2 linked regions of the Danio rerio genome follow. The protein of the gene in region 1 purifies or fractionates together with the protein of each later gene. This does not show direct contact. Links are inferred from orthologs where the notes say so. Each region holds a gene or a part of one and is shown on either strand. Other genes may lie near its edges.

Region 1 (4,274 bases):
TCTCGTGTAATGTGGCAAAGTTTCACAAAACCGATACCATGTCTGCGATGCCTCACGACACCATCGCAGAAAGTCTAGCATGTTTAATTTTTTGAAGCATATCGGACTGGTTCTGAAGACCTTATTCGTTATTTTTGTTTACATATATACATATATGTATACATATATTTTTTTTTTACATTGCAGCCTCTTGCGAATAACTAATCACAATGTTTCAAATTGCGATTCGATTTCGATTTAATCGTACAGCCCTAGTCACTGCTAAGTTTCACCAATATAGAGTAAAAGTTTATCATTTGCATGTGTTTTTAAAACCTGTGACTGTGAGCATTACAAGAGTTTAAAACTTTGCGCACAAGAAATAATGCTGTTGGAGGTGTAACAAAGATCATTTGTAATTCATTATTTATGCGATTTTATGCAAGGTTCCTACTTGTAATTTTTGTCTTATTTCTAGTCCAAATGTCTACATTTCAAAGCAAAAATAAGATTATTCTACTTGCCCCATTTACAGATAAATCAGCTTGTTTTAGTGATTTTTTATTAGTATTTTTTTCTGAAGGTGAAAACAAAACAATATTTTAAATTGATCAAAGATTTTTAGATATTTGGACTAGAAACAAGACAAAGTAAGAAAAACATTTTTTTAGCATTCCGGTTATTCAATTTCTGTATTTGACTCCCAAGAAAAATGTCAAATAATACTATTCAAAACATCTTGTGAAAAAGCATTCATTTCGCAATATTTATCAGAGAAAAATTAAATATCGTTATATTTTTCCTAATATTGTGCAGCCCTTGCCATTACCCAAAATGTAAAACTACACTAACTGTGTTTGTCTGACAAAAGAAAAACATATTTACAGATGATGACTTGAAGTTGAGGGTGAGGAAAAACCATGAAAAAGTTGGTTTTATATTTGCATATTCGTTCAGTGACAACTTGTGATATGCTCCCTATACTGTTTACCATGTGTACTTTGATTATTCAGTATAAAATCGCATGTACAACTGAAGTCAGAATTATTAGCCCCCTTGTTTATTTTTTCCTCAATTTCTGTTTAACAGACAGAAGATTTTTTGTCAACACATTTCTAATCATAATAGTTTTAATAACTCTTTTCTAATAGCTGATTTATTTTATCTTTGCCATGATGACAGTAAATAATATTGTACTAGATATTTTTCAAGACACTTCTATACAGCTTAAAGACATTTAAATGCTTAACTGGGTTAATAAGGTTAACTATGCAGGTTGGGTAAATAGCAAAAGATATAGTTAAATAATGGTGGTCTGTAGACTATTAAAAACACAAATAGCTCAAAAGGGGCTAATCATTTTGACCTTAAAATGGCTTTCAAAAAATTAAAAACAGCTTTTATTCTAGCTGAAATCAAACAAATCAGACTTTCTCCAGAAGTAAAAAAAAACATCAGAAAAACTTTGAAAATGTCCTTGCTCTATTAAACATCCTTTAGGAAACATTAAAAAAAGAAATAAAAATTTAAAGGGGGCCAAATAATTCTGACTTTAGCACCATTTAACTGACTCTGAACAGTGTTGTGCTTTGATAGTCATTGGCTGCTAATATGATTTCCCTATTCAGAATTTGCAAACAATAATTTTCTGAAATTATATTAATCAAGGAGAAACTCAGCGTGTGCAAATATAAAACCAACTTTACCTCAATTAAACCATGGGTGTATTTTTTTAATTTTGGGTGAACAATTTGAATACATTTTTGTGAATATGTTTCTTTTTGTTTGTTTGTTTTTTGCACAGACGTGGTTTCACTTTAAAAAAAAAACTTTGTCATAAATATTAGTTTAGTTTTGACTGTTTATGTTTTCATGACAAGTCATGACTTTCCCAATAACAACAGTTTCGGCTAAAGCTTTTCTTTATTACTCCAAATTAAAAAGTAATCTACATCTTGTTCAGTCAGAGGCTGCGTTAAAAGCAAATGTTCATTTTAAGACCTCCTCTCTCTTTAAATAAGAACACATTGACCGATTCACAGCTGTACACATGAGTAATGAACACAGCATGTTTCTGTATACTGAGTAAGCAAGTTTATATTCCCAGAACGAGCAGTACTCATCACATACCTATCCCTTGGGTCAATCCAACTGGTGGTTTGATTAATATGGTCTATATAATAGACCTTCCCGTCAAAATCTCGGGCCTCTTCCCAACCCTCTGGCAATGGTAACTCCTTCCTTGGCATGACCAACACTTAGTCTCCATGTAATTTTCTCTGCAAGTCTTCTAAAATGATTGGTAAGCAAACCATGTGTTGCTTTGCTTGGACTGGTCCAAATAAGTTAACTCCAAAGCGTAAGAAAAGTGCCATTAATTAACCACAGGTAGAGATGTATTCCGGATTATCCATGGTAATGTCTTCCTATATTCCAGTAGAGCTCGTGCAGCCTATATACAGAGCATTGCGTTCACGCTGTTAACTTAAATGAATGGATGAGAGGGTGATGCTCTGAATCGCGTAACTTTGCCGAAGGAGTTGTGCTTTTTGTAAGAAACTCCTCGTTTCTTGTGCATTCTCAGTTAAGTACGTACTACATCAATCAATCATATTTTTTCACCCACGGAACTTGGATGGTTAACGTCAAAAATGAAGGAAAAAAACTTTCAAAGGTCGTGCGCGAGTTTTCAACATGGACAAAAAACTATTTTAAAGTCCAAAAATAATCTTCCAAACATAACACATAGAAACCGAGTAATTTTTCCAGCATACTCTGGGAATAGTTGAGTGAGTCTGGAAGGTTTTTCGCTCAGTGTCTGCCCACCATGTTTTAGCGACAACTATGCTAGCCTGTTAGCCCCAAAAGCTCGTTGTACAGCAACGCAAACTGTTAGACACGCCACACAAACGTATTCCGTATCCTGTCGTTTGGCCGATGCATTCCTGTTACATCCAGAGGATTTTCGTAGATTTCTGTAAAAAGTGGCGCGTTTCTTTCTCATTTGTTTCCAAATGTTGTGTTTTCCTTTAAGTGGCTGTGTGCGGTTCTCCCCCGTAGTCAAGCTCGGTCGCTATGCTGCGGTTGGAATGGATTACGTCATACAGGTGACGGCCGTAGCTCTTCTAGTAGCTGTCCAGTTAAAAAGAAGGTGAAGTATTTAGGAATAGATATCACAAAAAGTTTATCAGAGACAAGATTTCTGTCTCTTGCCTTTGATTGTAATTAATTAATTTTAATCTGTTTTATATATTTTGCTTAATTTTTATATATAGGTATAGATTTTGTTTGCTGGTTGTTTTGTAAAGCACTTTGGTCAACATCTGTTGTTTTTAAATGTGCTCTATAAATAAAGCGAACAAACAAACAAACAAATTTATAAAAGCTCAAGGTATAATAAATAACTGGCTTCAAAAGGATTTATCTATTATTGGCAGAGTTTTGTTGACAAAACAAAGAGATTTGTTTTCTAGATTTGTTTACACGACTTTATCTCTTTTTGTTCAAGACGCTATTTGTAAAAAAAAAAAAAAAAAAATATATATATATATATATATATATACAATTTTTTTGGAGAAATAAGCATCATCATTTAAGAAAGGAAATTCTTCAAGGTCCAAGTAAAAGATGGAGGATTTGAACTTTTGGATTTTTTTTTTTTTTTTTTACTTAAATGATACATTAAATAATAAAGTTAAATGGCTTAGGAATTGTTTATTGAAATCAGATTCATTTTGGTTTTTTATTCCACATAATATTTTCAAAAAGGTTGGAGGTTTTTACTATCATGTGACTACTCTGTTAATAAACTACCTGTCCAATTTTTATCAACAAGCTCTTAAAGCGTGGAAGTTGTGGTATGTGCACACTTTTTTTTAAACAGAGCCTTAAAACCTAGAGGAAAATGTTTTTGGAATGTTTGTTTTGAAGATATTGTGTGGGGAAAAGCTTGGTTGCTTCCTTTTCACTTTTGCATAAGTAATAAACAGAGGCAACTACATTTAAAAATACTTCACAACATTAATGTTAGCAATTAAACAATATCGAAATTTATGCAGACTGATGAAAATTGCTCATTCTGTTTAAATCTTTGGTTCATCTTTTTTTATGATTGTCAATGTTTTAAGAACTTTTGGGAAAACTTATCGTTGTATTTCCCCCCACCACCCAAAAAATAAATAAATAAAAAATCAGGTTTTAGATGTAATTTGACCCCCAAATATGTTAAATTTTATTTTGTCTCAAACTATTTATCTGTGGAATTCATAATGGATCTTTTGATTTTATTCGGTAAA
Region 2 (3,832 bases), about 970 kb from region 1:
ATGAAATGGTCATTTTTTAAATTTTATTATCGATTGGTAAAGTCAAAAATTTTGGCAATCCTACTCGAAACTATTTAAAATACTGGTCCCACTTTATATTAAGTGTCCTTAACTACTATGTACTTACATCAAAAAAATAAATACAATGTACTTACTGTGTTTATAATGTATTTGAGAACACTTGTGGTGCTTTTGGGATAGAGGTTGGGTTATAGACAGGTTTGGTGGCATGGGTAGGTTTAAGGGTGGGTTAAGGTGTAAGGGATGGTCAACAGTGTATTAACAAATGTAATTACAAAAGTTAATTACAGATGTAATTACATACATGTATTAATCAAGCATAAGTACACAGTAAATACATGTATTTACACAATAAGTACATTGTAACAAACTATTAATTTCTATGTAAGTAAGTATATATTAGTTAGGGCCACTTAATATAAAGTGGGACCAAAATACTATTTAAATAAGTTGTTAGCATCATATGTAGTTTGATGCATTTATATGTAACATTAACTGCGGAAACTAACATAATGCAGAACATTCAGCTTTGATTCATAGAAAATAATCATTTAAATTTGTATTAATTTTCTGAAATATTTCATGATGTCACTGACTGTATTTGTGATGATCTAAACGCAGACCCTGTGAGCATGTTGTTTAAAAACATTCCTACTGGCCTCAATGTTGTGAACAGCTGTGTAAACGCTATTTTAATCAATCTGATGCTTTTCTTTGAAATGATGACCTGCTTTAAAATGCGTAAACTTGCACGTTCGTCTGTACGTAAACGACGAATACTAAAGGCCAGCAAACAGCCCCTACGAGAGCTCTGTGTGCAGAAGCACCTGACAAACACATCAATTCAGGAGGTAAATCAGCTGAATGTTGATATGGCGTCTGTCTGGGAACATTACAGGAACGTTGATCAGATGTGCAAACACTTTATATGTGACACGTTCCAGATGAACACACACGATTCCAACAGACGTCACATTGACGTCAAGCCGAAAACCACCCGCAAACTTGCATCCAGTGGCCGTTTGGGAAAAACTCTGAAAACTATAAAGCACTTGAGATTATGAAAGCCATGAAATCTGAGGGTTTCATAGATGTTCACTGATTTCATGGAAAGAACTTCTCATTTATGCGTGTGAAATCTTGAATTAGGTTAGACCCTGCTCTAAAACATAATGTGTCCTTTTAAATGGATTCCTTTGGTCAAACGCAATTATAAGACTGGGAGAAGAAGCCATTTTGTCTTTTACAAAGGACAAGAGGAATTGTGGAAAACAAACTGAAATGTCCTATGTGTCAGAGCTTTACAGGAATCTACAGTTCAGATTGGAAAAACTAGAGAATCTCATTCAGACCAACCCAAAACCAGTTGGGTCACTCATACTTTCACACTTTCACATACAGAAACGTGAGCTTCTGGACACACATGTGAACTTCTGGTGGTCCATTGCTCTTCAAAACGTGCTGCACCCAACAATTTATTATAAAAAAAGCCCTATGACATTCAGTTTTACAGTATTCGGATACAGTATTTACACGTAACAACTGTTCGGCTAGTCACCATTTTGTTAGATACTCAAGTGCCACATTTGTATTATTCGTAAATACAGACAAATTGCATACCCAAATAAACAAAAGTAGTGCAATAAATGTAAAAAAAAAAAAAAGAATTACAATTATAATTTGGTCCGAAGGTCTGGGAAAAAAAAAGTCCACCAGACAATACTGTACAAAAAATGAATTGTTGTGTGTTGTAGTCGGCTGTCGGTGTGTTTGTTCAGAAACATCCTGATGTGAAATGTATGATAGAGGAGTGTGTGGAGTTCTTCACCTGCACAGTAAAAGATGATCAGATGAGGATTTCCACCATGTCGCTGTCCATGTCCTGTGCTGCCACTGATGCTGGAGGAAGACTCTGCACTGGTGCTCTCCTCTCTAATGTACTGCTGTGAAACACTGGCACGTCTGCGCACATACAAGAACATAAACATCAATGACCAATAGCAGCCAAGGTAAAGATGTTATATGGTGCTCTTGATACATAAATTGTGTACTTACTATAGTTATTACAATTAGATTCAGCATAGTTACATCCCACTAATCTGCATTCTAAGCCAGATTATACAGTAGGTACATGCAATTAATAAATGTTTCTCCATGGTTGATTGAATAGTTAGGGCTCATGCGCACTGATGATTTTCACTCATGATTTTATCATCAGCAAAGTGAATGTGCAAACTCATTGTTAGATGACACTTAAGCCTGGTTTATACTTCTGCGTCAAGTGACCGGCGTAACCCACAGCGCATGCAACGTGCGTGGCTGTGCATTTATACTTCTGTGCGCTGTCTCTGTTGGTCTGCATTAACACTTCCGAAACGCTAGATGGCAGTAAACGTTCCTCTGTGTCGATTTTCTTCGCTGGTGTTTTGCTTTTCCTGAACACTTCCTGAATGTACAAGTGGCTCAAACTCTCTCATTTTGAGGTAGGAACCGGCAGACGTGCAACAACTTTAACTATGAGGTAAACACAAAACAAAACTTTCCATCTGGAGCTCCTTTACGGGACTCCACACTTGTAAACAATTCGCGCGGCTCTCAGTCCCGCCCAGACTCGTAAGCGCTACCAAGCCGACCAATCACAGAGCTTGCGCTACGCGTCGTTGAGACATGTAGTTACATTTTTTGAGAGGTGCACGTCAGCGACGCCGACGGCCACGTAGCATACGCGTGCATTTGACGCAGAAGTATAAATCAGCCTTTAATGGAAAAACAAATACTCAAAGTGACACAGTCAGCTCACAGAGGTTTATGTTTTAGTGCCACCAAGTTGTGTTTATTATAATTCTGCTGTTTCAGGCACACGAACAAAAACTCCAATTTTATTGGTTGACCAGTTTTTAATGTGGTGTGCCAAACCAAATAAATGTTTGAATTTTGTTTAAATGACACTTTTATACTTGCTGTTTTATTTGTGGCTCACATTGGCACTCTTTGTTTAGTCATAAGGTGTTACATGTTGTTATGCACAAGTGAAAAATCATTACGGTGTGCACAGGCTTTTACACTATGGCCCCGTTTACACTAATACGTTTTAGTTTTAAAACGCAACATTTTTTCTATGGTTACACTATGCGTCCAGACTACGCCGGAGTTTTCAAGCACGGAAAATGGAGCGTTTTGAAAACGCTGGAGAGGCTGTTTTCATTCTAAAACGCATATGTCTTGCTACAGTTACGCCGTCCGTCCACACTATGCCGGAGTTTGAGCGACGAAAACAGAGTGTTTTGGAAATACTGAAGAGGCTTATTTCATTCAAAAACACTGCTGCTCCGTCTTAAGCCTGATTTATACTTCTGCGTTAAGTGATTGGCGTAACTCACGGTGCATGCAACGCGCGTGGCTGTGCATTTATACTTCTGCGGGCTGTCTCTGTTGGTCTGCATTAACACTTTCGAAATGCTAATTGGCAGTGAGGTGTTTTTGATCCTCTGTATCGAGTTTCTTTGCTGCTTTTTTGCTTTTCCTGAACACTTCCGGGATGTACAAGTGGCTCAAACTCGCTCATTTTGAGGTAGGAACCGGCGGACGTGCAACAACTTTAACTATGAGGTAAACACAAAACAAAACTTTCCATTCGGAGCTCCTTCACGGGACTCCACACTTGTAAACAATCGCTCCATCAGGCTCGCACCATTCACGCGGCTCTCGGTCCCGCCCAGACTCGTCAGCGCTACCAAGCAGACTAATCACAGAGCTTGCGCTACGCGTCGTTGCGACGTGTAGTTACATTTTTTAAGAGGTGCACGTCAGC

Evidence for each region.
Region 2: the proteins of wwc1 (region 1) and amot purify together in Homo sapiens (affinity purification with mass spectrometry; 3 studies listed by BioGRID and IntAct, with this or other methods). This does not show direct contact. The link is inferred for Danio rerio from reciprocal best matches to the Homo sapiens genes WWC1 and AMOT.

The regions. Positions count from the first base shown.
Region 1 is NC_133196.1:40,241,438-40,245,711, forward strand, and holds the start of wwc1 (protein KIBRA), read right to left. Parts: upstream 3,055-4,274; 5' UTR 2,229-3,054; coding exon 2,110-2,228; intron 1-2,109. UniProt on the Homo sapiens protein: Regulator of the Hippo signaling pathway, also known as the Salvador-Warts-Hippo (SWH) pathway.
Region 2 is NC_133196.1:41,208,512-41,212,343, reverse strand, and holds part of amot (angiomotin), read right to left. Parts: intron 1,984-3,832; coding exon 1,868-1,983; 3' UTR 1-1,867.